Linked DNA regions of Ovis aries. The protein of the gene in region 7 purifies or fractionates together with the protein of the main gene of each other region. This does not show direct contact. Links are inferred from orthologs where the notes say so. Each region holds a gene or a part of one and is shown on either strand. Other genes may lie near its edges. The genes, in order: CCND1, CDK4, DCLRE1A, POLA1, XRCC1, IGF1R and PCNA.

Region 1 (4,175 bases), on a different chromosome or scaffold from region 7:
ACTATATTCTTTTATATTCTTATAAGTTTGCGATTAATATTGGGGACTCGCGTATAGCCACGAATATATATAGGTTTTGTTTAAAATCATCAGATCAATACACCTATTTCTTTAACTTGTAATTGTTCTGATTGTTGCCAGACCCCCGCCAACCGCCTCAGGCTCTCGAATGCAGCCCCCGGGCAAATTCTAAAGGTGAAGAGAGGTCCACACCCCCAACAAAGCCAATTAGGAAGTTTCCGGTGGTCTTCTCCCAGGCGGGGAGGCGACCAATATTTCCAGCGATTTAGCTTAATTTTTAATTAAAAAAACGAGACAGGACAGAGACCACTGTTTTGCAGCCTTCCTTTCAGAGTGTTTTTCTAGCTGTTAAATTGCCGGCACAGGGCGGGGGCGGGGGGGAAGTGTTGGGGGCCCCCCGCAAGAATGGACTAGCTAAGGTAGGAAGACAGTGCGCAGATCCCCCAGGCGAAGAGGACAGGGCGAAGGAAATGCTGGCCACCATCTTGGGCTGCTGCTGGAATTTTCGGGCATTTATTTTATTTTATTTTTTGAGCGAGCGCGTGTTAGGCTGAAAGCCCTTTAACTTTGGGGGTTACCCCTCCGGCATTTGCACAGACCCCCCTCGGTGCGGGAATGAAACCTCCACCGGGGTTGTCGGCTCTGCCCTGAGTCCCTGAATGGTAAATGGTTCCTGAAATTTACACGTGTTAATGAAAATGAAAGAAGACGTAGACGCTAAGATCCCTTGGCTGCCTCCGCCCGTGGGTGCCCTCGTGGCGTTCTCGGAAATGCGCCCATTCTCCCGGCTCAGAGTGTCACCGAACCCCAGCGTCCCCCTCCACACGGTCTCCCCCAGCTGCGTGTGGCCTGCCCGCCCTCCTAGTTGTCCCCCTCTGCAGAGCCACCGTCACCCAACCCCCCAAATCCTGCGGGACCCGCTCGGGGAGGACAGACCCCCCCCCCAACCCCCGCTCCTGCACCCCTCTTCCTCGGCGGGGAGAAAGGCAGCCTTAGGACGGTTTGCATTTCTATGAAAACCCGGCTTCGGGGGCAACACCGCGCGGTGCAGGCGCGGCGCCTCCGGGATGGCTTTTGGGCTCTGCCCCTCGCCGCTCCCCGACGCTCGGCGCCCGCGCCCCCTCCCCCTGCGCCCGGCCCCCCTCCTTCCCGCTCCCATTCTCTGCCCGGCTTTGATCTCTGCTTAACAACAGTAACGTCACACGGACTACAGGGGAGTTTTGTTGGAAGTTGCAAAGTCCTAGAGCCTCCAGAGGGCTGTCGGCGCAGTAGCAGCGAGCAGCAGCGTCCGCGCGCTCCGGCGAGGGGCAGACGAGCTCGAGGGAGCGCGGGGCAGCAGGAGCCCGAGTCGAGAGCCGACCCAGCCCCGGACCCATCGCCGCCCCCCGGCCACCTAGCCGAGCCCCCAACCATGGCACACCAGCTCCTGTGCTGCGAGATGGAAACCATTCGCCGGGCGTACCCCGATGCCAACCTCCTCAACGACCGAGTGCTGCGGGCCATGCTCAAGGCGGAGGAGACCTGCGCGCCCTCGGTGTCCTACTTCAAGTGTGTGCAGAAGGAGATCCTGCCGTCCATGCGGAAGATCGTGGCCACCTGGATGCTGGAGGTGCGGGGCTCCGGGCGGCTCTCTTAGCACTTTCCTGCGACTTGTTGCGCAAACCCACTTTTCTTTGCCACTCATCACCCTCCCTTCTCTCCCACCCAAACTTTGAAGTTTGCCAGAGTGTTGCTAGGAATCGTAGTTCCAAAATATATAGATATTCAGGGTATTTTTTTGAACAAGGAGGGAGTGGGGGTGGGGTCATTAGATAATTCCTTTCGTGGGTGGGTGGGGGCGGCGGCGGTCGAGGAGGGGTACCCTAGGGGAAAGCCACTGCCCGGGCACCCCAGTTGGCTTCAGGGTGCGGGCCCGCAGGCTGGGCGTCCTTTGTGGCCCCCGCCGGGACCTCCACCGCGCAGCCCCGCTGCGCCTCCTCTTGCGGCCGCGCGGCTGCTGAGCCGCCAGCTCCAGGGGGAGGGGGCATAGATTTGATTTTTAAATTAATATCCATGGACACGTATGCAAGGGCCGCTCGTGCCAGTATTATGCGCCATCTTTGTTCTTTTATTGCAAAGCAAAAGTGTTTATTAATAATTGGGGGCAGGGTGGGGGCGGGGAGCGGCCGGCCAGGCGCTTGGGGCCGCCGCGAGGGGCCGCGCCGCCACCGGGACCCAGCGGGAGGGGCGCGGGGACAGAGCTCGGGTAGTTGTGGGGGGACCCCTCTCGGGAAAGGGGGCCCCTTTGTTCAAGCAGTGGGTCCCGGGGCGTCCCGCAAGGCCAGCTTGGGCCAGAGAGCACGCCGGGCTGCAAGGTCGCGTGGCCCCCAAGACGCTAGGAATGGACCCTCATCTGCCGGGATCTCAGCTTGGGGGACCTGTCTGGAGCGAGCTGGGGGCCAGGGGCACGTTTTCAGGCCTTCAGAGGGCTCCCCGGGGCACCGCAAGTATTTTAAAATAATTTTTGAAAGTGCGGCGTGGTGCCCTTGCGAGAAGGAAACGGCGCCCGCGCCCAGGGGGAAGGGGGGCCCCCGAGTTTGAATTCCTGGGGCTCTCCCCTGAGCCCGCAACGAGCTCCCGACTCCCGGCCTGGGTAAAGGACAGTCTGAGGGTCATTTTCAGGGCATTTTTATGTACCCACTTAATTTTTTTATATTTTTAAATATTTTTTGAAAAGATGACGTCTGGGGAAATGCGGCGCGGCGGCCTGGGACGCCACCTTTGTGTCTCGCAGGCGCTGCGAGCGCGGCGCCCAGCCCCGCGGCCCTCCCCGCGGCCCTGCGCCCCATTTTTTGCCGACCCCAGGTCTGGCGGCTCCCGAAGCACCCACGCGGGCCGGGGTCCCTGGGACCCACAGCCCGCGCGCGACACACGCCGCCCAGCTGTGCCCGCTCCCGCCCCCACTGTGCCAGCCTAGCTGGGACTTTCCCTTTCAGTTTCGGGGTGGGTGAGTATTGGGGACTCCCGGGGAAGAGGGGCGCGGCGGCGGCGGCTTCTGCTGCCCCTTGCCCCGACCCTCCGCGCGCTCAGAGACCTCGCAGTCCAGCCGCCCTGGCGCGAGCCGGGTCGGGGGGCGCGAGGTCTCCGCAGAGGGGCCGGGCGCTCCCGGCGGCGGCGGCGGCGGCGGCGGTCACGGCCCCCGGTGCCCCCCGGCAGGTCTGCGAGGAGCAGAAGTGCGAGGAGGAGGTCTTCCCGCTGGCCATGAACTACCTGGACCGCTTCCTGTCGCTGGAGCCCGTGAAAAAGAGCCGCCTGCAGCTGCTGGGGGCCACCTGCATGTTCGTGGCCTCGAAGATGAAGGAGACCATCCCCCTGACGGCCGAGAAGCTGTGCGTCTACACTGACAACTCCATCCGGCCCGACGAGCTGCTGGTAACCCTGGGACCCCCGCCACGGCCCCTGAACGCCCAGTTAGCCGCGGGACCCCGGGGTGGGGGAGGCGCGGGGGTCCCCGGCGGGCCGCCGAGAGACCCTCGCCCCCAAGGAAGGCGGCCGCACGGGCGGGGCCCCGCGCCGCCCCGCAGCCGCGCCGCCGCCCCCCTCGCTTTCCCTCTGACTCCCACCACCTCTGCGCCCCCAGCGTTGCGAAAAGTGGGGGGCGCGCGCCCTCCAGCGGCGGCGGCGGGGCGGCGCCCGCGCGGTTGACCCGGCTCCGCGTTCCAGGTGTGGGCGGGCCCCTGGTCTCCGCCGGCCCAGGGTGGGCTGAGTTTAGGGTAGGACCCTTGGCGAGCAGCACCGTCCCTGCACGGAATGTGGGGTCGCGCGCTCTCCCCCTCACTTCCCGGACCCTCCAGCGACCCCCATCCCCTCTCTCCGACCCCTGCTCCACTGGGGTCCGCGCCTGCGCCTCTCGACACGCGTTTCCCCCGGGTCCGCAGCACATGGAGCTGGTCCTGGTGAACAAACTCAAGTGGAACCTGGCGGCCATGACCCCGCACGACTTCATCGAGCACTTCCTCTCCAAAATGCCGGTGGCCGAGGAGAACAAGCAGATCATCCGCAAACACGCGCAGACCTTCGTTGCCCTCTGTGCCACAGGTAGGGTGCTGGTCCCCGCCGCTGGTGCCCGGGAGGAGCTGCTTGGCCCATGCCTCGGTTTTCCGCGTCGGGGGAGA
Region 2 (4,113 bases), on a different chromosome or scaffold from region 7:
CGAGTAAGCTCTGGGAGTTGGTGATGGACAGGGAAGCCTGGCGTGCTGTAGTCCATGGGGTCGCAAAGAGTCAGACACGACTGAGCAACTGAACTGAACTGGGCACCGTCTACTCCCTATTTTATATGACCACATATAAACTATGTGACTGTATCTTTATAGATAAAGGTCAAGTGTCTGCGACACTTGTCGAAAAAAAATTAACAAAAAAAAGAAACCCCACAGACACACAGGAAGCAAGGACTCAGTAAACATTTGCTGAATGAATGAATGAAACAAAGACACAAATGAGAACATGTTTTCTGCTAGCGATGGAGCAGAAAGACGACAGCAGCACCTCCCGTCCCTCGACCCATCTCCCCGCTTAGAGAGAGTGAGAGACAGGTAGTGAGACTCAGGCTCGGCTTGCAGCCCGGAGTTGGGAATCCTGGGTGGCCCAGGTTGCCATGGCATCGCATTGGACTCCACCCTCTCTCTTCTCCCGCCCCAACGCCCAGCCAGAGTTAAGGCAGCCAGTCACGTGCCCTTCAGCGTAACCACACCTCTGCTCCTCCAAGCAATGTCAAGCGGTCACGTGTGATAGCAACAGATCATGTGGTTGCCATCTCTCTCCGCCTCTTTCCCCTCCTCGCCCCTTTCTCGTTCAAAGCCGCTTTCTGGCTGCCCCTCCGCGCATGAGTAGTCCGGTCACGTGGTCCGAACGTCCGGCGTTGGCCCCGCCCCTCCAATTTCCGCGCGCCTCTTTGGCAGCTGGTCACATGGTGAGGGTGGGGGTAAAGGGGGCCGCTCTAGCCTGCGGCCTGTGTCTATGGTCGGGCCCATAGCGTCCAGCTGCCCAGGACAGACCTCGAGTGTATGGCGCTGCAGGAACCGGCTCCGGGGTCCGGATAACGGGCCGACCCCGCAGCTCCTGACACGGGGCGAGGTGAGTGTAGCCCTTTTCAGGAATGGGGACCATTCTCGCCGTCCACTGCTTCCTACGCGGGCTGGTTATGGAAGGGTTGCTCGAGGGCGGGAAGTGGGGCAGGATGTGATAATGTTCCTTTGTGGCCGAAGGGAGGTGTAATTTCAGGAACTGGGTGTCGGGTCTTTGATGTAGGGGGTGTGTCTTATGGGATTTCCCTTGTGTGGGGCTTGATGGTCCCCAAGGAAAATGCATCTTTGAAAAAGTTATAGGGCCTCACGTGGCTGGAGGGTTTGGGGTTAGAGTTATTGTGTTACCTAGGGGGCTGCCTTCAGGGAAGCTTGGGAATGCTGTTGGTGTTGTCTTCGTGATGTCTTTTGTGGGAGTCACTTTGTTGCTGCAGGCTCATTGAGCCTCTGTGATTGTAGGGCCTCCTCTGGTCTGAGAATGGCTACCTCTCGATACGAGCCAGTGGCTGAGATTGGTGTCGGTGCCTATGGGACAGTGTACAAGGCCCGTGATCCTCACAGTGGCCACTTTGTGGCCCTCAAGAGTGTGAGAGTCCCCAACGGAGGAGGTGCTGGAGGGGGCCTGCCCATCAGCACCGTTCGGGAGGTGGCCTTACTGCGGCGTCTGGAGGCTTTTGAGCATCCCAATGTTGTCAGGTGAGAAGAAGATGGAAGGGTGGGAATGGGTCGTGAAAGGAAAAAGACAGCCTAACCTGTAGATGTGGAGTGGTGGTCAGAAGAGGAGTGGGAACCCTGAGGAAATAGGGGAGGCCATGTTGGGTCCAAGACCATTGCTCAATGAGTGACCATTTGTTCTGGCCAGGCTCATGGACGTCTGTGCAACAGCCCGAACTGACCGGGAGACCAAAGTGACCCTGGTGTTTGAGCATGTGGACCAAGACCTCAGGACGTATCTGGACAAGGCACCCCCACCAGGCTTGCCAGTGGAGACCATAAAGGTAAGTAGGGCGGGCAGACACTGAGAGATAGCTTGAGACCTTTGTGGTAGTTTGTTGTAATTTCAGGTGTGGCACCTGATTCCCAGTTTCTCTGTACTTCCCCCTTCCAAACCAGGATCTGATGCGCCAGTTTCTAAGAGGCCTGGATTTCCTTCATGCCAACTGCATCGTTCACCGAGACCTGAAGCCAGAGAACATTCTGGTGACAAGTGGTGGGACAGTCAAGCTGGCTGACTTTGGCCTGGCCAGAATCTACAGCTACCAGATGGCACTTACACCTGTGGTCAGTAGAATGATGGTGGCCAGGATGGGGCCAGAGTGGGGTCTGGCTGGGGGAGAAGAGTGATTGCCCATAACAGTTGAGAAGGAGCGTGTTTTTCCATGTGCTTTGCAGTAACTTGCAGGACTCTCATCCGCATTACTTATTCCCATCAGGTTGTTACACTCTGGTATCGTGCTCCAGAAGTTCTTTTGCAGTCTACGTATGCAACACCCGTGGACATGTGGAGTGTTGGCTGTATCTTTGCAGAGATGTTTCGTCGAAAGTATGGGGCCCAAGTATCCCAAACATTTTGAATTTCCCAAGTTTTTTATTCATAAGCCACGCCTATACCCTGCCTGCTCTTCCACTTACTATTGGCCACCTTGTCCATAGCCGGAAACTCTGAAATGTTCTGGAATTAGGAATTTCATAGCCCTTTATTCTCCACACCCTATGTTTTGAGCCACTAAACAGTATCTACCACCCTGTCTTTGTAAAACTGCTACTGGAATGACTGTCTCTTTTCACCTTAGGCCTCTCTTCTGTGGAAACTCTGAAGCTGACCAGTTAGGCAAAATCTTTGAGTAAGTGACCTGCAAGGGGGAAGAACTTTGCATTCCGAGTCCTTGACTTTGCATTCTGCTGAGTCCTTGACAGCAGCTGGCTCTGCCCCTGGAGATGGGGGCTGGAAAAAGGCCCTCCTGACCAGAATTCTCTTGTTCCCCATAGCCTGATCGGACTGCCCCCGGAGGATGACTGGCCCCGAGATGTCTCTCTACCCCGAGGAGCCTTTTCCCCCAGAGGGCCCCGCCCAGTGCAGTCAGTGGTCCCTGAGCTGGAGGAATCCGGAGCACAGCTGCTGCTGGTAATAGACTCAGGCATGGGCACAGGGCGAGACTACAGGGGGAAATCACGTGTTTGTCACTCAGTCCTGTCAGACTCTTTACAACCCCATGGACTGTAGCCCACTGGAGTGGGTTGCCATTTCCTTCTCCAGCGGGTCATCCCAGGGATTGAATCTAGGTCTCCTGCATTGCAGGCAGTTTATTTTACCACTTGAGCCATCAGTGGGGGGAAATGGAGCAGGATAAAAGGGACCCAAATGCATTGTTGTTACTGAGACTTGATAATGAACAGGTTGGTTTTTATTACTGTTTTGAACGGCTGGCCACAAGAGGGATAGAAAAAAATCACCCATTCTAGGTATTGTTAGGGTTAAGCAGGAGTCCCTTTTGTTTCTTCCATGTTTTCTGACATTTGCGTCTCTTCTCAGGAGATGCTGACTTTTAACCCACACAAGCGAATCTCTGCCTTCCGAGCCCTGCAGCACTCTTATCTACACAAGGCAGAAGGTGACGCAGAGTGAGCAACAGAATGGCTGGAACAGAACCAAGGCGAGAGACACAAATTTCCCTTCTTTTGAACACTTGAGTGGAGAGCCCCACCACTGAGAAGGCAACCTCTGCCTTCACCTCTGAAGCTGTGGAGACGACTCCTCCAACTTTTTACAGACAATATTTTACTGCCTTAACAATATTCCCCTCCCACCCTTCTTTTTGAGGCTTATCCTTATCCTGTGTCCTTACACCAAGAGATATGTCCCTTGTTCTCCCCTTCTTTATACCTTTATATTGGGATCCTTTTTTATACAGGACAAACAAAACAAATATGGTCTTTTTTTTTTTTTAATATTTCTTCCTCTGATTGGCTTTACTGTTTGGGAATTTGGAAAAAACCATTTGGAAGATGGAATTTCCTTGCAGATTCTCTTTAGATCACAGGGTCAGTGGAGCCCCTCTACTAACAAGGGAAGGAAAGGCATTTACATGGCTTCTTTGATTATAGAGTTTAAATGGTTTTTATTTTTATATTTATTGAACCTCCCCAAACCAGGTCCTCCTTATTACAAGAGTTCTTGGTAGTTTTCTCTCGGGATCTGTCCCTGATTTACCCTTGGAGCAAAGATGTGTTGAGGTGGTC
Region 3 (4,145 bases), on a different chromosome or scaffold from region 7:
CTCAGAATTCGCCTGCAATGCAGGACACCTGTGTTCGATCCCTGTGTTGGGCCCATCCCCTGGAGGAGGGCATGACAGCCCACTCCAGCATTCTTGCCTGGAGAATCCCCATGGACAGAGCGGCAGGCTGCAGTCCATGAGGCTGCAGAGTTGGACATGGCAGAGCGACTAAGCACCCACGCAATAAGACCACCTAGGTGGTTTGCAAAGATTAAATTACAAATACTTTGTGTTTAGGACTCTGTGTGGCCCACAAGTGATCCGTAACCGTTAGCCTGGATGATGCACAAAGATGATGATGACGATGGGCAACCAGACTGAGAGGACAGGGTGGCGTGGACACTGGAATCACTGCCAATGGGGGCCACGAAACTTTAACTCAGTGAACTGAGTTAACCCAAGGCCCGGGCAGAGCCGGAGGACAGAGACGAAGGTGCAGGTTCCCGTCCTCCACAAACCCTCGTTCGCTGCCGCCTGGGGACAGAGTCGGCTGGGCGAGGCGTCTCTCCGCGGCTCGGCTGTACAGCCGCCTCGCCCACCGCTTTAGGGGAGGGCGCGGTCCGCGAGAAAGGGGAGGTTCCGGAGGGGTCCCCACCCCGAAGCCAGCCCCTCACCTTCCGGAAACTCCGGCACCGACAAGTCCTGCTCCCAGCCGTCCACCTTCTGCAGATACTGGTAGACCAGGCCGTCCTTCTCCTCCTGGGTCACGGCGTCGAGCAGGGCGTACTCCAGCGAGGTCTGAGCCGGGAGCAGGCCCGAGAGGTTGCAGCTCCGGGCTCCGGGCGCCGCCATGTTCTCTCCGGATGGTCCAGGGGCCGCCCAGCCCGCGGGACGGTCTCGTGTGGAGAGAGAGGAAGCGCTTTATTGTTCTTTGGTTTCCAAACCGCACATTCGCCTCCCTTTCCACCAGCCCCACTCCACGCTAACGGCACTTTGTTCAAAGGCTAAAGTGTAAATCGGCGCGATTCCCAGGCACGTAATTAAACTACCTTCCCAAGGTACCCCGCCCCTCCTAAGTCTTCTCGCCCCAGGGGAGCCTGGACATTCGGAACGCCAGATTCAACAAGGAAAAGGCCCCTGGGCCGGCGTTCTAGAAGCTCCAAGAGAACAATTCCCGCCCTTCAGTTTGGAAATTAGCAGGTTTTAGAACTAAAATAAAATAAACCTGTCGAACTTAAAGGGCCCAAACTTTTTTTTTTTTCTTTTCAAAGCTCCCGTTTTAGACCGGGAACAGCCGATTCGACACAGCGTTGGTCACGGGAAGCTGTTCCCGCCACGACATGAAAGGTAAAGGAGCAGGCTTTTTTAAGTTGGGAGGGACTAGCCAATGGCTTGGCTTATACACCAACGCCGCGTTTTATTACCAGGCGGTGCAGTGAAAGTGCAGGAGCGAACACGGGGACCAGGCGGACGAGGGGTGTCGGGGGGGAGCGGACGCAGCTGGAGCTCCTCGCAGCGGGGTGGGGGTGGTGAGGGTGCCAGGTGGGCGTCTGCCCTCAGAAGAGGGGTGGGGGCACCGGTGGCTTTTGCGGAGCGGGCTGTGTTGGCTCCCAGCCCTGGGAGTGGGGAGGGGAATGAGGGCCCCCTCCACTGGCCTTGCCGCCTCTAATGCCCAAACAGGAGATCGAGCCGGTGGGTGTCATCAGGCAGGTGAACCTTGGTTTTTGAGGCTGGTGGGAAAGAAAGCTGATCACTCGCAGGCAGATCACCTCTGCGATCTGAAGTTAGGCGTGGGGGTGTCCTCGGTGCAGGTCCAACTTCACATACTTGAATTTTGTTTGTTCATTGTGCAGCCCTTGTTCACTGCCGCTGGAGGAAGATACTGGACTGACCCAGGAAACCGAAGTTGTTGAATGTCCTGGAGTCACGGATAAGGGCTATTACTTTTCTTTTGCCAATCACACACATTTGATTATGGTATGACTAGAGTTGCTAGCAAGCTGAAGTAGCCTTTTAAGTGTTTGGAGCATCTGCTGAGTCAGTTGCCTAGGGACTGTGGTTGGATTTGTGATTTGGACACTTGTCCAGCTGAAAAAGAATTGACAGGAGCTTTATAAGGATTTTACAAAGCTCCTTCTAAAATTAGTCTGTTAAACCTATGATTTCCATTAGGACTTGGTATTCAAAGTATTACTGATTCTTATTTTTATGAATCAAGTCCTGGAAAAAGCCAAGAGACCTGAATGAAGTATACACAATGGAAAACTCAGATGCCATAAATGAAACAGCAAGTGTTCTTAGGTAAAAGGTTTGTGGTTTCCCAATATATTCAATACCAGAGCTTTAGAGTCCCATCAAGTTAGTAAGTTTTTTGTCACTTTTTTTTTCCCTCAGCAAAATAATTCCCTTTAATAATTTTGTAACAAGAAACAGACTGTCAACTTACTTAAGATTAGTGCTTTTTTAATGATCAGAATCATTTTGCCATGTTAGAAGATGCTTTTTTGGAAGAAGACATCTGGGAATACAAATCCAAAAGAAAACCAAAACGAGTACATCCAAATAATTGCTCTGAGAATATTCCAGATTTTGTTGAAAAAGCAACAGATGGACAACACCAGTCAAAACGAAACAGAAATAAAAAAAGGACTGTAGAAACTAAAAAGAAGGTCAAGACCCCAGAAACGTGCCTTAGAGAAACAGACAGTCAGACTTCTGTCGCTTCCAGTCAGAACTCCATTTGTGGAGATGGTATTCAACAGTGCCAAGACACAGAGGTCACTCCAGAAAAGCGCTGTAGGACTCACAAAAACAAACACGTGTCTCCAAAGACACGACCGGTTTATGATGGGTACTGTCCCAACTGCCAGATGCCTTTTTCCTGCTTGCTAGGTCAAACACCTCGATGGCATGTTTTTGAGTGTTTGGATTCCACACCAGTCTCCGGAACAGGTAAGATTCCAAAAAAGACAGTGGGCTTGAAATAGTCAACAAGACCTGAATGAGGCCAGACTTACCAATCTGGAAGGAAGGAAGGAAACCAGATAAGTAGTAAACCGGAAGTGAGATGAGATACTCTTAAGTAAGAATGACTCATCTTTGAAGGAAACAAGATAATGCATTGTGACCCTTCTTGTGAGGCTAAAAAGATACTAGTCATTGGTATAGCTGTAGAGAGTGTTGCAAACCTGAAAACACTTTGAATGGGGAATTCCCTGGTGGTAAGTGGTTTGGGCTCCTTTCCTCCACTGCAGGTGGAATGGGTTCAATCCCTGGTTCAAGAACTAAGATCCTAGAAGCTGCATGGCCAAAAAAGAAAGTTTCGATGCATTTTATTATTTCATAAGAGTTCCAAAACATCTGTGGTTTTTCATAAATGTTAATTGGGCACATATTAGGCTACTTTTACCTGCATAAGGTAGGTGGTGTTGACATCTAATGGGCTTCCCAGGTGGCACAGAGGTAAAGAATCCACCTGCTGGTGCAGAAGCCATGGCTTCAGTCCCTGGGTTGGAAAGGTCTCCTGGAGAAGGAAATGGCAATCCACTCTGGTATTCTTGCCTGGGAAATCCTATGGACAGAGGAGCCTGGGGGGGCTACAGTCCCTAGGGTCGAAAAGAGTCAGATATGACTTAGCAACTGTGCTGTGCTTAGTCGCTCAGTCATGTCCAAACCTTTGCAACCCCAGACACTGCAGCCCTCCAGGCTCCTCTGCCCATAGGGATTCTTCGGGCAAGAATACTGGAGTGGGTTGCCATGCCCTTCTCGACTTAGTGACTAAATAACAGCAATTGATATCCAATAGGGGTGAAGTGAAGTCGCTCAGTCATGTCCAACTCTGCGGCCCCATGGATGTAGCCTGCCAGGCTCCTCTGTCCATGGCATTTCCCAGGCAAGAATACTGGAGTGGGTTGCCATTTCCTTGGCCAGAAGATCTTCCTGACCCAGGGATAGAACCCAGGTCTTCCTCATTGCAGGCAGACTCTGAGCACTTAGTGTTCTTAAAAGTTGAACGATTTGCCCATTTTATCTTTTATGAAACAGCCTTTTAGAGAAGCATGAATGTAGTCCACAGGAGTCTTGAAGTCAAGAATGCCGTACATTCTTCTTAAGGTACAGAGAGAAGAACTAGGAAGGAGTGTTAGTTTATTAAGATTCTAGTAAATAATTGTGCCAAATGAGAACTGAAGTAATATTACATTTTT
Region 4 (3,696 bases), on a different chromosome or scaffold from region 7:
CAAAGTCCTAATCAGTATTTGCCAGTGATCCCTGTAGAGCAAATTAAACAGGAGGTGACAGCTAAGCCTAATCCTGCAATTACTATAAGCCCTGTAGGTGTGGCAGAAATCCAGTCAACTCTGCCCATCAGGCTCTCCAAGCTCTGTGTCCAGGTGTTTTTTCCCCTAGAGTCTTAGGTCTTCAGATGGAGCTGGTCGTTTCTTCCACCCCTCACTTGGAAAGGCAGAACTGTCAAGAGAAGAGGGGGATTTTTAGCAGGGTATGTTTAAGTTCTTGATAACCAGCCCACCAAATTCTCACCTGGGACATTAATGACCTGTCACCATGGCAGCTGCGGCAGTGGTGTGTGTCTCTGTGCTTTAACTGTGCTTAGCTGGTCTGCTGTCTTCGTGTCAGTGGTTGGCGGAATTCTGGCCTTCTGAGGGTCAGGCAGCCTGTGTAATTACCAGTCTTGCCACTCTGCACTTGCACTTGGTTTTTGACACCCCAAAATGGTTAGGGATCAGTGGTGATACAAACAAGGATTACTCTAAAACCATTTGTAGTGCACCTGTAGAATATAGACTGTGTTTGTTTTCCTGGTTTTTGGAGGGGGCTGGATGGGGGAGATTTTGGAATTTCATTTGATCGGTTGAACAGTTATGGAGATTACTGTCTTTTTGGGGGGCACCATCAGCTAGCGGAAAGGGAGGCAGCATGTCTCACAGGTTTGCCAAGTACAGGAGAAACCAATCTCGAAATTACAAATGACTAATCCCCAAAGCAGCTAATGAAGAATTGGCTATAATTCAGTTTGTTTTTTATGAAGTAGATGAGTAATTGATGGTGTGACAAGTGTATTATGCTAATGGAATCATTTAATATCTTATGTTAACACCCACCTAAAAGGAATACTAAGTTAATTGATGTCTATTTAAGGAAAACCCTGCAGTGGTGTTGAATGTCAGAACTCATGATTTGGTTGCAGCTAACTCTTTCAGGCTGCCATTCCACTTTGAATTTGACAATTTTTTCATCAGAATTGTTTAACACTTTCACTCCACTTGAGCTTTCTCAAACTTGTATGATGGCAGGTAGAGGACTTCACGAGTGTTTATGAAGAAGTTGATGAGGAACAGTACTCGAAGCTGGTCCAGGCCCGCCAGGATGACGACTGGATCGTGGATGACGGTAGGTGGGAAGAAGCCACCTGCCAGACACTGTGTCAGTAGCTTTTCATAAGTTCTTATGCAGCAGAGTTGTTTCTTTGCTTGGACAGGTAGATGTAAGGCACCTTTGGCTTGGATTTTTCTTAAATGCATGATTTGAGGGTGTGGAAGCAGAACGATGGAAAGTTTTGTCGAGGGGCATTTTGGAGAAACCAGACATACACCTCAGACTATAGTATAAATCCTCCAGGAAGTGACTGTGTAGGAGTTTGGAGGAATCTCACACCTGTGGGCTGTCTCCATGTGATGGGGTAGAGGAAAATATGTCACAGAATGGCTGTGAGGATTACACAAGACTGTACTCATGAAGAGTGACTTGGACAGTGGAAAGCCCTGGGTAGACATAGGCTGGTCCCCATGTTCTCATAGCCCTTCTGGAAAGCTCTGTGGTTCCTGTTTGTGGGATGTGACTTCTTGGGTGTGTGAGTGCCAACCACGCAGCAGAGAAAGGGGGTGTAGACTGCGCCTGCCACTGTTTATGTTCCTATTTCTGTAATTGGACTTGGCTATATTCCCAACTTGAACTTGCAGACTAAATTGCTTTTCTGGACTTCTGGTGATCTTTATTCTTTTTATTCTTCTGGTAGAGTAGAAGTTGGAGAAGGCAATGGCAACCCACTCCAGTACTCTTGCCTGGAAACTCCCATGGATGGAGGAGCCTGGTGGGCTGCAGTCCATAGGTTTGCTAAGAGTCAGACACGACTGAGCAACTTCACTTTCACTTTTCACTTTCTTGCATTGGAGAAGGAAATGGCAACCCACTCCATTGTTCTTGCCTGGAGAATCCCAGGGACGGCAGAGCCTGGTGGGCTGCCGTCTGTGGGGTCGCACAGAGTCGGATAAGACTGAAGTGACTTAGCAGCAGCAGCAGCAGAGTAGAAGTACTGTAAAGCATCCTATTGTGGCAAACTTTGATCCTGTGGGCCAAATTATTTCCTAGTTCATATAAATAGGCATAGTATATAGCTGATCCTTGAACAGCACGGGTTTAAACTGCTTCAGTTCAGTTCAGTTCAGTCGCTCAGTCGTATCCAACTCTTTGCGACCCCATGAATTGCAGCATGCCAGGCCTCCCTGTCCATCACCAACTCCTGGAGTTCACTCAAACTCATGTCCATAGAGTCGGTGATGCCATCCAGCCATCTCATCCTCTGTCATCCCTTTCTCCTCCTGCCCCCAATCCCTCCCAGCATCAGAATCTTTTCCAGTGAGTCAACTCTTCGCATGAGGTGGCCAAAGTACTGGAGTTTCAGCTTTAGCATCATTCCTTCCAAAGAACACCCAGGACTGATCTCCTTCAGAATGGACTGGTTGGATCTCCTTGCAGTCCAAGGGACTCTCAAGAGTCTTCTCCAACACCACAGTTCAAAAGCATCAATTCTTCGGTGCTCAGCCTTCTTCACAGTCCAACTCTCACATCCATACATGACCACTGGAAAACCATAGCCTTGACTAGATGGGATGTTTGTTGGCAAAGTTATATATGTGTGGCTATTTTTCGATAATAAATACAATAGTGCTACACCATCTGTGGTTGTTTGAATCCACAATTGTAGAGGAGCTGTAGATACTGATGGCTGACTGTAAGTTATATGTGGGTTAACTTCCAAGTTGTGTGAGGGTCAGCTGTATATCCTTTGGTTTTGACTCAGAAAACCTGTGTGAGGGCTGTGTTTCATCTGACTTTTGGTTGAACAGGATTCTGCTGCATTTTAAAATGACATGGACCAGGAGAACATCTGATTGGGGGTTTTTATTTTTTTGTCATGGGCAAAATATTGGCTATGTTTAGAAATTTGATCCTAATAATGAAATTTTTTTCCTGCAGATGGTATTGGCTATGTGGAGGATGGCCGGGAAATTTTTGATGATGACCTTGAAGATGATGCTCTTGATTCCCATGAGAAAGGTACCTGCATTTTGTTTTTAAGAGGGCCATTTTGAGATTTAAGAAATTGTCTAAAATTTCAGATGACTTGGTACTTTGATACAGTTTCTTCAGGGGAAACGGACCTACCACAATTGTGTTTGAGTATAGAAAATGTTCTAATATTGAAAGAAGTGTAGTTATGTAGAAAATTAAGCATGGAAAGCAAAAACAACCAGGAAATGAAATATCACATCTCTCTATCCAAAGAGTTTAGTCTTACTTATTTTAGAATTTTCAATGCTGTGGTCATTTTAGATTTGCTGATTTTGATGGCTACAAGCATAATGATGTCTTTTCATTCCTGCTGAAGTTACTTAGGATTTTAGCTCTTTGATAGAAGCACAGTACAATAACAAGGCTTCGATTTTCTGTTAACTTGCTTTGTTTAATTGAAATTTAAAACGATGTGAATGAATGTGTTATATTCTCATAGCTATCACAATCATTGGCAAAAAAATTTTTGAGTCAACAAGCCCGATTTCGTTCCTGTAAAATGAGAGGTGGAAATTTTCTTCATATGTTTTTTTAAATTTAGTTCATTGTTACCACCAAGTGGT
Region 5 (4,203 bases), on a different chromosome or scaffold from region 7:
TCCCCAGCTGTTCTTATAGGAAGCTGGGAAGGGGTGGCTCTGGACCTACCTTACCCCTAGGCTAAGAAATGATGAGGTAAGCCCTGGGGTAGGTCTCTCCAGCTCTGAGTGGGGGAGAGGGAAACAGAATCCAAAAGGAGCAGTGGCATCTTGTGCCCAGCCCCCTCCTCCATGCAGCCCCAGGCATTTGGGCTTCCAACCCTCTCTTCCATCAGGTCCCACCGCACCGGCCGTCACCACCTTTTTTTCTAATGTTAAGCCCACGATCAGAATCAGGTCATTTTGTTTCCTGTAGGGGAGAGCAGCTGCTAGGACTCAGGTGCCCTCCCCCTTCTCTCCTTCCCCAAGGAGGTGCCCAGTGTGGGTGAGGCACTACCTGTGAGCGCCCAGCAAGTCCAGGCTTGTTTTGCTGGCGCGAGCTTGGCTCATACTCCCTTTTCTGTGTTTGGTCTGTCTCCATCTCCGACCCCACCCCAGGATGCACATGGGTCTCTCGGAGACGGAACAGAGGGCTGCTTGTTCAGGGCATGGGGATGGTAGTGGACAGATGCCCAGAGTTCCCATTGGAAAAGGAAGGCTGGGTGTGTGTCTGGTTCGGGCACACACTTTGTGGTTTATTAAGGTCCTTTACACAATGTCTCTGCCTCAGGCCTGATCTTCAGGGATCAGAGATTTTCTTGTGGGTGTGTGTCTGGATGTGTGTCTGTGTGTTGGTGTGGGGAGGGTAGCCAGCCAGCCAGCCATGGAGGGGATCGTGTTGCGGTAGGCTCCCGGCTTCCTGAAAAAATGCACTCAAGATTGCTGGCCTCTTGCTTTCCAGGCTTCAGTTAGGGCGCTGAGGACGGCGAATTTCTGCTGGGGACCAATCCTGCAGGCCAAGCCAGTTGCTAGGAAAGCCTGGTGTGAAAGTGACTGGGAGGAGGGGCGAGAGAGCCGTTTGGCCAGAGCCAGGCGGGAAAAGCTCGTTGCTAGGGAACTCGGCTCCTCTGGGCGCTCTCCGGGGAGACGCACTAGGCATGCGCAGTGGTGACGTAACCGCCGGCGCGCCGCGGTTTGAAAGGCCCGAGCCTCGTGCGCTTGCGCAGTGAAGGCCGCACGGGGCGCACCCCCTGTGAGCCCCCGAAACTCAGACCTTCGTGCATCTTTTGGGTCGGGCGAAGCCCTCTCGACGTTGACATGCCGGAGATCCGCCTCCGCCATGTGGTGTCCTGCAGTAGCCAGGACTCGGTGAGGGACTGGCGTGGGGGAGGGTGGAAGAAGTGAAGGAATTCGTCAGCGGGCTCTGGAACTTCTGGAGTCTCAGAGGTGTTGAAAAATAATCCGTATGCGGGGTGCCAAGAAAGAGCTTGGGGTTCTTACGAATTGCAGTTTGGGAGACAGATTCCGTTGAACGGAGTGTTGGCAGCGGGAATCAGGCGCTTATGAGGACAGAGGTCGCAGGTTATTACAGTCGTGTGGAGAGAATTCTAATTGGTTGTGATACACGGAAAGAAGTATTTGGCTTTAAAGAAGACGCTGTTCTGAGTTACCGGAGGGTAAGGGTCTGATAAGTACCTTGAGTTTCTGGCACATATTCTGGATGCCTGTGTGAATACAATAAGTGGTCAAAAGGTCAGATTCCACTGTAGCTGCGACCCGCTTGGTCAGAATTCCTCCGTAGCCCCCCGGTCAATCTTTGAGAACACTTTTAGCAATGCGGACTTCATTTTGGTTTTCCTTTCACAAAGGGGACTTTGTGTAATTCTAGGAGGGTCATGGGAGAATTTCTGGGAGGCCATAGGGAATTTTGGAGAGATGTGGGATCGAGAAATTTGCTGAGAGAAAAGTAGGGTGCTTTGCTTCCTGGGAAGGAGCAGAGGTGAATTTCTAGGGGGAAATGTTGGAGGGGACTCCAGGTAGAGTGTGGAGGGATTTATTATTTTAACACTAGAAGGTTTTGTATTGGGGTATAGACAGATAACAATGTTGGGATAGTTTCAGGTGAACAGCAAAGGGACTCAGACATACATATCCATGTATCCATTCTTCCTCAAACCCCAGAGTGTGGGGGGATTGATAAGGAAACTGAAACCTGGGTGATGTCAGATGGCTTGAGAGAACTCTCAGACTAATCTGAGAGCTGGGGACATAGCCCTCACCTCTGAACCCTAACGTTTCCTTTTCTACTCTTCTCTCCAGACCTACTGTGCAGAAAACCTTCTCAAGGCAGACACTTACCGTAAATGGCGAGCAGCCAAGGCGGGTGAGAAGACCATCTCTGTGGTGCTCCAGGTGATTCTGCCAGCTGCCACCTCCCCCCACCCCCAGCCCCCGCCATCTTTTTTTTCCCCCTCTCTGCTGGGTGGTATGTGGGATATTAGTTCTCTGACCATGAACAGAACTGGAGCCCCTTGCTTTGGAAGCTCAGAGTCTTAACCTCTGGGCCCCCAGAGAAGTCCCCCTCCCTCCATCTCCTTAATAGAAATCTGTAGGTCCAGGGTCCACACTCTACTCTGGAGTTAACTGGCAGTGAGCTGAGGCACTTTCTCTTTGGTCCCCACCACCTCACCTGGACAATAAGCAGTGTGGTCCCTGTGCCCTTAGCAGAGGAGAGAGGTGAGGCAAGGACTAGGCCAGGAATGAATCCGTGTGTGGTCCAGGTAGGTTGCTGCTCTTTTCAGAGCCTTATCCTCAGTTGGAAGAGAGTAAACCATTGCCACGCATTCTGCCTTCTCAAGGCCCTGGGCTTAGGACTGGAAGGTGTCTCATATCTAAGCCAATCAACCTCATTTTAAAGATGGAGAAACTGAGGCCTAGGAAGGGCCAAAGTGAAGTGGCCAGCCTAGTGGCCATCGTGGAATGCAGAGTGCTGTGGTACGTGTTGGTGAAGTTGGAGGCAGCAAAGGGAAAAGGGCAGTTTGACCCAGGATGGTGACAGACTTCCCAACAGGCTTTTCCCATCAGGCACAAGGAACTGGTAGGAGAAGCGAGCTAGTGAGTTCCCAGGGCTGCCTGGGTGTTACCCTGCGTGATCTGGCTCTCCAAGGAGTCGAATGGTGGTGGAGCTGTTATCACCCCTCATGCATGGCAGTGCTGCGAGTTGAACCCAGTGTGGGTGCTCTAGCCATCTCTTTCTTCTTTGTGTCTATATGTTGACTTAACTTTGTTTTTTATATTTATTCATATTTGGCTGTGTTGGGTCTTAGTTGCAGCATGTGGGATCTAGTTAGCTGGCCAGGGTTGGGAACCTGGGCACCCTGCATTGGGAGCATGGAGTTGTAGCTCCTGGATCTCCTGAGAAGTCTCTGTCTTTTTTATTTTTAATTTTTGGCCACACCACATGACACTTTGGGGCGTTAGTTCCTCAGCCAGGGATTGAACCTGCCCCCAGCCCCCTGCCCCGTTGGCGGCACGGATTCTTAACCACTGGACCACCAGGGAAGTCCTCCACTTCTGGATTTTGGCCACATTCATCCCTCCAATGTAAGGGTGTTTGGGGAGGGATGCTGGGCAAGGCCTGCCGGATTGTGTTAAATTTATTATTGTCTGTCTTACCCAGTGGTTCTGAAAATGTTTTGGTTCATAGACCTTTTTGCAAATTAGAGAGAAGCTAAGAATTCTTCTCCCAAGAATTATACACAAAGTCACAGGATTTTGTGAATGATTTTTGAACTTTTAATATTTCATAGTTCCCTAAGGTAGTATAGTCAGAATAATGAGAGCTAAGAGTTTATTCACAGATACAACTGTTTGGGAATAGCCTGGTGGGCCAGTGGTTAGGATTCCACTCCATGCCACAAGGCCCAGGTTCAATGCCCAACTTGGGAAAATGCTCCCCACCTCAGAAAAAAAAAACAAAACCCTGCCAGTTACCATTCTAAATGCCTCATATGGGTTAGTTCATTGAATCCTCATAAAAATCCCATCACCTCAAATCTATTATTATCCCCTGTATGATGCAGAAACTAGGCCCAGAGAGAGTATACATTTGCCTAGAGGCAGTATTCTCAACTGAGAGAGAGATGCAGGTGGCTGACAAGTTAATCTCAGGTGGAATTCAAGTCCCCATCTCCCTCTCTTACTCTCGCTGTGACCTCAGGCAAATAGTTTCATGTCTCAGAAGCTGTCTTCTCACCTGTTCTTGGAGGATAATGTGCTGGGCGCCCAGGGTCACCGTGAAAATCCGGTGACATAGTGTTTGCAGAAGTGCCATGTCAGCACGCA
Region 6 (3,696 bases), on a different chromosome or scaffold from region 7:
CCCAAGCTGTGTGTCTCGGAGATTTACCGCATGGAGGAAGTGACGGGGACTAAGGGGCGCCAGAGCAAAGGCGACATAAACACCAGGAACAACGGGGAGAGAGCCTCCTGTGAGTGCGACCTCCCACACTGCGCGGTGGCTTCTGTTCGTGGCCCCTCCTCACTTCACGCAGGCCTCTTAAACCGACACCTGGACATCTTCAAAGGCAGTAGTGAGGCAGATTCGTATTAGTAAATTTTCAGTAGCATCTATCTGTGTATAAACGTTTATAAATGGCTTTTCGCTTAGATTTTAAAGAGGGGCTTACAGAATACACAGAGTTAAGCATCTTTAATGCTCAGGCAGACTGTTGGATTGTTTTCCAGGGGAGAGCTGGTCCTCTCCAGCCCTGGGAGGGAGTGAGCCTAGCCCTGAGTCTCCGGGGTGGAGGGGAGGTCTGAGGGCAGGGAGGCTCAGCTGCAGCCCCTGTGGCCATGGGCCCCCAACCTGGATCCTGGTCCCAGCACAGCATGAAAAATGGAGAGAGACTGCCTCCCTGAATTGATAGCTACTTTTTAAATTTAGGACAGTATAATTATAATCTTATATTGGTTATATGACTTCTGCTTGAAGGTTTTGCCTCTGAATGGTGAGTTTCTCACCTAACCTTGTATGTAAAACTGTTTTTAAAAACGGTGTGCCTCTGTGTGGCTGGATCAGGTTATGAAGGTAAATGCTCTCTCCACCATTGGCTTTTGATAAGGGACAATATGCAAAAAAACATAGACTAGCCCCTGTGATCCGGGGTGGTTTGCACACACGCACACTGGCCAGAGAGAATCTTAGAGACTGTCAGCACTGGACTTCATTTTGTGGGCTTGGGATTCACCCTGTAGACTCTCGAGTTGCCCAGGAAGGGATTTTAGAGGAGAGAAACCCGACGCAGAGCTGGAGGGCCTTCTTCCTGCACGCCACACGCCCCCTCGCCACGCTCCTGTTTAGACCATCGCAGAGTGGATGTCGCATAGCTCTCTCAAAGTGTTTTTCTGCTGAGAGGCAGCCAGTCTGACCTGTTGGATCATGAATACAGTAGCCATTTATTGTCTTTGGGGGGAGAAAAATGATGTTTCCTCTGTAAATAACATTTTAGCGGAAACTGCAGCATTTTTTCCATCTCAATCCATCACGTTTTGCCCCACAGACATCTTGGGTTGTAACTGTTGCTGGCCTCTGCTTCACCTCCCAAGGGTGGAGGGTGCAGTGGGAGGGAGTCGGCAAACACAGGGCCGGGGGCGGGAAGGTCCATTCATAGGAGAGCTCGGGTCTCAGCCGGGCGGCTTCCGCAACCCTCCCTGAGTTCTCAGCTGTTTGAATCTGGTCTGGGAGCACGAGGGGACTTGGGACAGCCTCCCTGTGGTGCTCCCGGCCCAGGCTCCTCCCACAGAGGACGGGAGCCGTGCTGAGCGAGGTGGGCTCTGTTAGTGCCCGGTCCATTCCCCGCTACGTGTCGGCACTGCTGGAGCCTCCAGGGAGTTCCTGGAGGTGTCGCGCAGGAAGGTGTCAGTTCCAAGCTCAGGCTAAGTAAAGTTCCCCTCCTGTGGCACACCTGCCCCGTTACTGACGCGACCAGGCAGATCCGCAGTGGTGAGACAGGTGTCACCTTGTCTAAGAAGACTCGTCCAGCGTCAAGGTCCCCAGGCCCCTCGGTGGCCCACATCTCAGGCATGAACAGAGACAAGCTCCCTTGGTGCAGCCAGCAGTCCTCTTCCAGGTTATTAAGGATTTCCCACAGGTTCACATCCAGAGCCCCTCGTAAGCGAAAGCAAAGGACAGAGCCCCTTGCAGGCCCTGTAGTGCAGTGTTTGGGTCCTTAGTGGAGACAGCAGGGTCACTGAGACGTTCCAACAGGGGCTTTGCACGCACAGCCAGCTTTGGGGGAGAGGGTCATGGTGCCGGGCAGGTGAGCCCGCGGGAGGGAGGGAGGGGAGGGCGGAGATCGCAGTCCCTCACGCGTGTGCCTCTGCCCCAGGTGAAAGTGACGTCCTGCATTTCACCTCCACCACCACGTCGAAGAACCGAATCATCATCACCTGGCACCGGTACCGGCCCCCCGACTACCGGGACCTCATCAGCTTCACCGTCTACTACAAGGAAGCGTGAGTGTCTGCGCTGCGGATGTCCTTCTGTGGGCGGGCTTCATCCTCCCCCCAGCCCTGCTGTCCGGTGACAGCCGCAACCACCAGTGACAGCTGTAAATGAAAAAGTGTTTTCTCAACGCCTTTCCTTCTCCAGGGGGTGTTTAGAGATGCTTGAATTTAAAAAGTCCAAAGCGAAAAACTTAGTGACTTAGGTCAGTCCAAACATTCAGAAGCTGGGATGGAGCGTGTGGTGGCGGCATCATTGTAGCCTTGGTGCCCTCTAACCCATAGTCCACAGACACCTGAGTCGGGGTGCTCAGCCCCCCTCGAGGTGACCCTCAGAGGAGTCCGTAGTCTTCTCCCGTCGCTCTCTGTGGCCCCTCCCCAGATGTGGCCCTCCACTGTAGATCGTAAACCCTCCAAACTAGGGGTGGAGACTGGAGAGAGACTGACCTCCCTGTCCCGAACCTTTCAGGATCTCTCCCAGAATCTGCCAGGGGCATTTCTTGTCCTTCAGGGGACACCTGCCTGCCCGGGCAGCCAGCACGTCTCTCCTGATGGCAGGGATGTCTTCTTGGTCCGCCCCTCCCTTCCGGTGCCTCCTGCATCCGGGTGGTTGCCTGGGCCTCTTAGTCACCCTCTTCACCCAGGTCCCGCCTTGATGCCTCTCCCGGTGCCTGGCTTCTCTGGAGCTGGAACCAGAGCCATGGTGGCAGCATCTGGTACCCCTTCTCCTGCCACAGCTGGGGCCCTGGGAGTGTCATGCCCATGAGAAGGCGCAGATGCAGGATTCTCAGGCATTCACCGTCCCTGCATGTGGGAGTCACTCATCCGCTGTCACGACGATTGGGAGGGGTGTGTGAATGCCGGTTTCAGAAACCAGTGGTGGTCCAGCCCTTCCATCTGAGGGGCGTGGGATCCCTGTCCAGCTCCGCATCTGTGCAGAACCACCGTCCTCTTTGACAGTCCTACCAGTGCTCTGGCAGGGTCGGCTGGCACTTTCACCAAGGGATTGACATTAGTAGCTGAGATAACCTGGAAACTAAATATTTGAATGTGATAAAAATGCTTAAGCAATCAGAATTGTTTGTGAGCAAATTAGATTTTGGAGGCTGTATTTGAGAAGCCGTTTGTCTGTGGCAAAGGCATTTTCCTCCAGAAGTTATTCTTATCAATAACTGATGTTTGCATTAAGTGACTGCCCTTGTTTTTTCTTTATGGTGGAAAAAAAAAATGCCACAGTGGGAAGAAAGGGAAAGAGTATTTGTATATACTCTTCAGGAGCAGTGTTTCCAATCTCAGTAATTACAGAACTTACTCTTCCTGAGGCAGAGGGTTTGATTCTATAGTATATAGAGAACCAGCTGAGACCTGGAGTCCGGTAGCTTACTTTGGTTCTGTAAAGATCTAACTGCTGATATGTTTTACCTAGAATCCCCATTATGGAAAGTGGAAGGGGACACCCGGGGGAGGTTTCTTAGAGTTTCCACGTTAGCACTGTAAAGCACTGTCTGAGGTTCGTTGACTGTGTTTCAGCCCCTTTAAAAACGTCACGGAGTATGATGGGCAGGACGCCTGC
Region 7 (4,225 bases):
ATGATAGAAAGACTAAAGAATTCTACAGACCAAGGTAAAACACTAGAAGTAACTAAAAAGAAATGCTGTAAACAAAGGAAAAAAGAAACAAAGGGAGAATATTCATAATAGGGAGATGGTTAATATATGAAATGCTTTTAATCAATCAGAAAAAAGTTTAATAGAAAAAATATAAACATGCAATGGTCAAGAACTGTATGAAAGATATCCAATTTGCACCAGTCTTTTAATATGCAAATTGAAATTTCCACACAAACGAGCACAGATTTAAAAATTAGATTGCCAGTAACAGAAAAATTAGAGGCAAGGAGCATGCTCATAGTCTTGGCTGGAATGTAAATTACAATCTTTTAGAAGTCAACTTAGTTAACATTTATCAAAAATTTAATGCGTATGCTCCTCTATCCAACAATACTACTTCAAGGAGTTGCCCGAATTACAAGAGATTGGCAGTTAGGTTAGGTTACATTTGTAGGATATGATGCCATCTTTTTAAGAGGTGCTGATAAACAAAACATGAACCTGGCATAAAATTAAACATACTTTAGTAAGCACTTTGCTGAATTCTTTATGGCATGAACTCATTTTTGTTTTTTAAAAGATATATACTTGTAGAGGAAAAAAAACTTAGAAAGTTACATAGAATAAATGATATCAATTTGTGTGTAGGTGGCGGAGGAGCTTTAAGAGCTGGTAGTAGGGAGATAACTTTTCTTGTTTTTTTTAAATCATAACTGTACCTCCCTTCAAACAGCTAAAGAAAAGGTGGCTTTTCTTCCTAAAGAGTCAGACAAACCGATGCGACTGAGCACAGAGCCTGGATTTACGTTTCACTCAGGGCTGTAAATTTTCTACCCCTCACGCGGGAGGCTGATGAGGCAGCACAGCGTCGCAGCTCATCGACCATTCCCGCCCAGCCTAGGACTGATTTTCACACTCACAAGGACTCCTCTTACGGGTGCCGGAACATGACAAAACGGCCAAGACTCCAGCGCACGCCTATCTGCTGGGCCCCTGAAGCGCTGCGCTCCTGCCCCGCCCCCATACCTGCATCCTCCAATGGATGCTCGGGGTGGGGCGGCTTTCGTGCAGTGCAGGGACAGGATTGGCTTTACAGTCTCTCCGCCCAGGCAGCGGGAGGGCAGCGTGATGACGTATCAACAAGGGGCACGGAGACGTAGCGCGCGCTAGCAGACGCGGCAGTATTAAACGGCTGCAGGCGCGGCTAGCTGTTAGAGGCGTCTCAGGCGTTCGTAATCGTGTTTTGCCTCTCGCTCTCATCCTCTGAAGCCTAAGCCGGTTACACATTCCTCACTCCTTGTACCTGTAGCCGTGTCATTGCGACTCCGCCACCATGTTCGAGGCGCGCCTGGTCCAGGGCTCCATCTTGAAGAAAGTGCTGGAGGCGCTTAAGGATCTCATCAATGAGGCCTGCTGGGACATCAGCTCAAGTGGCGTGAACCTACAGAGCATGGACTCGTCTCATGTCTCCTTGGTGCAGCTAACCCTTCGCTCCGAGGGCTTCGACACTTACCGCTGCGACCGTAACTTGGCCATGGGCGTGAACCTCACCAGGTGAGCTCCAAAGCCTCGGACATCCGGGCCATGGTCCGCTCCTACCTCTGGCTCTTGGCGCGAGCTCCTACGAGCCGGGCCCTCATTGGCTGGCGTGGGCCATCTGCGTCTTCTCATTGGCCTGCTGCGGAGTTGGGCGGGTGGCGGGACCCAGCAGAGCGCGCGGTTTGCAAAGCCCGCGCTGGCTGCAGCGCGAACAGCGAACCGGCTGTTTTCCGCGCCAAAGTCACAAAGCGTGTGGTGGCGGGAAAATGATGGACTTTGCGGTTTCAGGAAAAGACTGTTGCAGAACGCTTTGGTCGTTAAGTGCAAGCAACTTGGATGAGAAACCTTGGTCCTGGTTGACTTAAAGTGCTTTATAGTGTATCCTAGTTCTGTCACACTATCTAGGGACCAGAGTATTTCTTTTATTACTGCAAAGTTGCGGTGAGCACCCTAAGATCCTGGACTTGAAAATTTTCTCCAGGGCAATGGCGTTCAATTTTTGAACTACACATGTTTAAATCTTAAAGCTTATGATAAATACCCATAGTACATGCCGTGTACTTTAATAGGTTTATTAGATCATTTTTAAAGATAGTTGGCCCGATAATTTACTTCACCCACTCGAAATTCATAAAATGTTGTTCTTTTATTTATATCCAGAAGTGAAATTGCTTTTGGTATGTTGTGGGCCTTTTGGGTTTATACTGCCAGATTGCATTCCAAAGTGTCTGGACCGGCTTGCATATCCCCCGTGCAGTACGTTTTCCTAACTCACCAATCTGACAGATGGCATACTGGTTAAGGGTTTCCCTGGTGGCTCACTGGTAAAGCATCACTTTGCCAATGCAGAAGATGAGGGTTCGATCCCTGGGTGGAAAAGATCCCCTGGGGAAAGAAATGGCAACCCACTCCAGTATTCTTGCCTGGGAAATCTCATGGACAGAGAGAGGACCCTGATAGGCTGCAGTCCAGGAGACACCACTTACGCTCTAAACAACTGCAACTAATGGTTAAAAGTGGTAACTCCTGATTTTAATTCCATTAGAAAACTAACGATCTTGAGAAGATGGTGTTTAAAAACCCTTTGTCTTCTCTGTTCTAGCATGTCCAAAATACTAAAATGTGCTGGCAATGAAGACATCATTACCTTAAGGGCTGAAGATAATGCGGACACCTTGGCACTAGTATTTGAAGCTCCAAGTAAGTCCACCCTTCTACTGAGTTATGGCAGAGGAAACTAAAATGCAGTGTATTTCCCAAGTCTGATGATTGTAAAATATACCTCTTAGTTGTAAATTTACGTGTTTTTCTTCAAATTTGCTTTCTTTTGGTAGATCAGGAAAAGGTTTCAGACTATGAAATGAAGTTAATGGATTTAGATGTTGAACAGCTTGGAATTCCAGTGAGTATCAAAAGTTTCTGATTGAGCATGCTGTACACAGTTATGATAGTTACATAACATATATTTATATAATAATTTAAAGCCTACTTCCTAATAGAACTTTTCTGTATATCTGCTCATGTATATTCCAGAGTAGGGTATTTAGACTGATATATTTGTCATTTTATTAAATTATGGTGTTCTACAGTGCTATGGTTTGAATTCATTGCTGCCAAGGACATATTTGCATTAACCTCTGCATCTTTTAAAAAAATTATTATTCCTAGAGTGCTTGATTTTTATTGAGATTTTAAAGCTATTTTAGCAGAAATTCATTATGGTTAGGTTTTATCAACATCAAAAGAAGATGTGTTCAGATGTTTACAATGCCTAACACGCTCTTGTTTTGGAAAGCAAACCTATTTGTGCTGTTACCATTTGTATGCCATATACTAATGTCTTCTTGATTTAGACCTCCTATAGAGTGATTAGCTGGAGGCTCTTGTTCCCTGGATAGTGCATTTACTTTTAAAAGTTTAAGTTCTAATTGGTTTCTTAGTATGATGATGATTATTCTTTTTTATATCTGCATTTTTTTTAGTAGAATGTTAAGAAATTGCACAATGAGTGATATTTCAGAGTAATCAGAAAATCTTGAATTGTGAGTTCTTGTTTAGATGTTGAATCTTCAGGAAGTGAGGGTGCCAAATCTTTCATTTCCATGACCTTTACATTTCTTTGTTTTATAGGAACAAGAGTATAGCTGTGTAGTAAAGATGCCTTCTGGTGAATTTGCACGTATATGCCGAGATCTCAGTCATATTGGAGATGCTGTTGTAATTTCCTGTGCTAAAGATGGAGTGAAATTTTCTGCAAGTGGAGAACTTGGAAATGGAAATATTAAATTGTCACAGACGAGTAATGTTGATAAAGAGGAGGAAGCTGTAAGTAGTTTTCAAGTAAACAAAATACTTTGAAGAATTACACTATGTTATGTCCTAGTTTGGTAAGGCTACTGTTTCAAAGTACCATAGACTGGGTCAGATTTGGTGTCTGACGAGGGCCTGCTTCTTCATTTAAGAAGACAGCAGCCTCTTTAACCTGGTGAAAGGGGTAGGAGAGTTCTCTGGGGTCTCTAAAAGGCACTAATCCCATTCATGAGGAGTCTGCCTTCCTAACGTAAGCACCTCCCAAAGTCCCCTCCAATACCATCATTTTGGAAATTTCTGGAGGTATTTACTATGTTTTTACCGAATAATTAAGCAACTCAATAAAAGGATCTGG

Evidence for each region.
Region 1: the proteins of PCNA (region 7) and CCND1 purify together in Homo sapiens (affinity purification with western blotting; 5 studies listed by BioGRID and IntAct, with this or other methods). This does not show direct contact. The link is inferred for Ovis aries from reciprocal best matches to the Homo sapiens genes PCNA and CCND1.
Region 2: the proteins of PCNA (region 7) and CDK4 purify together in Homo sapiens (affinity purification with western blotting; 5 studies listed by BioGRID and IntAct, with this or other methods). This does not show direct contact. The link is inferred for Ovis aries from reciprocal best matches to the Homo sapiens genes PCNA and CDK4.
Region 3: the proteins of PCNA (region 7) and DCLRE1A purify together in Homo sapiens (affinity purification with western blotting; 3 studies listed by BioGRID and IntAct, with this or other methods). This does not show direct contact. The link is inferred for Ovis aries from reciprocal best matches to the Homo sapiens genes PCNA and DCLRE1A.
Region 4: the proteins of PCNA (region 7) and POLA1 fractionate together in Homo sapiens (co-fractionation; 3 studies listed by BioGRID). This does not show direct contact. The link is inferred for Ovis aries from reciprocal best matches to the Homo sapiens genes PCNA and POLA1.
Region 5: the proteins of PCNA (region 7) and XRCC1 purify together in Homo sapiens (affinity purification with western blotting; 3 studies listed by BioGRID, with this or other methods). This does not show direct contact. The link is inferred for Ovis aries from reciprocal best matches to the Homo sapiens genes PCNA and XRCC1.
Region 6: the proteins of PCNA (region 7) and IGF1R purify together in Homo sapiens (affinity purification with western blotting; 3 studies listed by BioGRID, with this or other methods). This does not show direct contact. The link is inferred for Ovis aries from reciprocal best matches to the Homo sapiens genes PCNA and IGF1R.

Annotation. Positions count from the first base shown.
Region 1 is NC_056074.1:43,280,853-43,285,027, forward strand, and holds the start of CCND1 (G1/S-specific cyclin-D1), read left to right. Parts: upstream 1-1,272; 5' UTR 1,273-1,432; coding exon 1,433-1,630; intron 1,631-3,216; coding exon 3,217-3,432; intron 3,433-3,938; coding exon 3,939-4,098; intron 4,099-4,175. UniProt on the Homo sapiens protein: Regulatory component of the cyclin D1-CDK4 (DC) complex that phosphorylates and inhibits members of the retinoblastoma (RB) protein family including RB1 and regulates the cell-cycle during G(1)/S transition.
Region 2 is NC_056056.1:161,900,477-161,904,589, forward strand, and holds CDK4 (cyclin-dependent kinase 4), read left to right. Parts: upstream 1-1,351; coding exon 1,352-1,569; intron 1,570-1,735; coding exon 1,736-1,871; intron 1,872-1,986; coding exon 1,987-2,154; intron 2,155-2,306; coding exon 2,307-2,416; intron 2,417-2,666; coding exon 2,667-2,717; intron 2,718-2,862; coding exon 2,863-2,998; intron 2,999-3,406; coding exon 3,407-3,499; downstream 3,500-4,113.
Region 3 is NC_056075.1:33,846,762-33,850,906, reverse strand, and holds the start of DCLRE1A (DNA cross-link repair 1A protein), read left to right. Parts: upstream 1-1,236; 5' UTR 1,237-1,287; intron 1,288-1,793; 5' UTR 1,794-2,426; coding exon 2,427-2,892; intron 2,893-4,145. Other genes in the region: NHLRC2 (NHL repeat-containing protein 2), read right to left, coding at 615-792. UniProt on the Homo sapiens protein: May be required for DNA interstrand cross-link repair. Also required for checkpoint mediated cell cycle arrest in early prophase in response to mitotic spindle poisons.
Region 4 is NC_056080.1:22,997,916-23,001,611, forward strand, and holds part of POLA1 (DNA polymerase alpha catalytic subunit), read left to right. Parts: intron 1-1,074; coding exon 1,075-1,171; intron 1,172-3,037; coding exon 3,038-3,118; intron 3,119-3,696. UniProt on the Homo sapiens protein: Catalytic subunit of the DNA polymerase alpha complex (also known as the alpha DNA polymerase-primase complex) which plays an essential role in the initiation of DNA synthesis.
Region 5 is NC_056067.1:51,484,920-51,489,122, reverse strand, and holds the start of XRCC1 (DNA repair protein XRCC1), read left to right. Parts: upstream 1-1,252; 5' UTR 1,253-1,421; coding exon 1,422-1,535; exon of another isoform or gene 1,536-1,611; intron 1,612-2,178; coding exon 2,179-2,271; intron 2,272-4,203. UniProt on the Homo sapiens protein: Scaffold protein involved in DNA single-strand break repair by mediating the assembly of DNA break repair protein complexes. Negatively regulates ADP-ribosyltransferase activity of PARP1 during base-excision repair in order to prevent excessive PARP1 activity.
Region 6 is NC_056071.1:7,454,054-7,457,749, forward strand, and holds part of IGF1R (insulin-like growth factor 1 receptor), read left to right. Parts: coding exon 1-109; intron 110-2,008; coding exon 2,009-2,135; intron 2,136-3,653; coding exon 3,654-3,696. UniProt on the Homo sapiens protein: Receptor tyrosine kinase which mediates actions of insulin-like growth factor 1 (IGF1). Binds IGF1 with high affinity and IGF2 and insulin (INS) with a lower affinity. The activated IGF1R is involved in cell growth and survival control.
Region 7 is NC_056066.1:47,047,911-47,052,135, reverse strand, and holds the start of PCNA (proliferating cell nuclear antigen), read left to right. Parts: upstream 1-1,234; 5' UTR 1,235-1,354; coding exon 1,355-1,575; intron 1,576-2,662; coding exon 2,663-2,760; intron 2,761-2,894; coding exon 2,895-2,962; intron 2,963-3,690; coding exon 3,691-3,885; intron 3,886-4,225. UniProt on the Homo sapiens protein: Auxiliary protein of DNA polymerase delta and epsilon, is involved in the control of eukaryotic DNA replication by increasing the polymerase's processibility during elongation of the leading strand.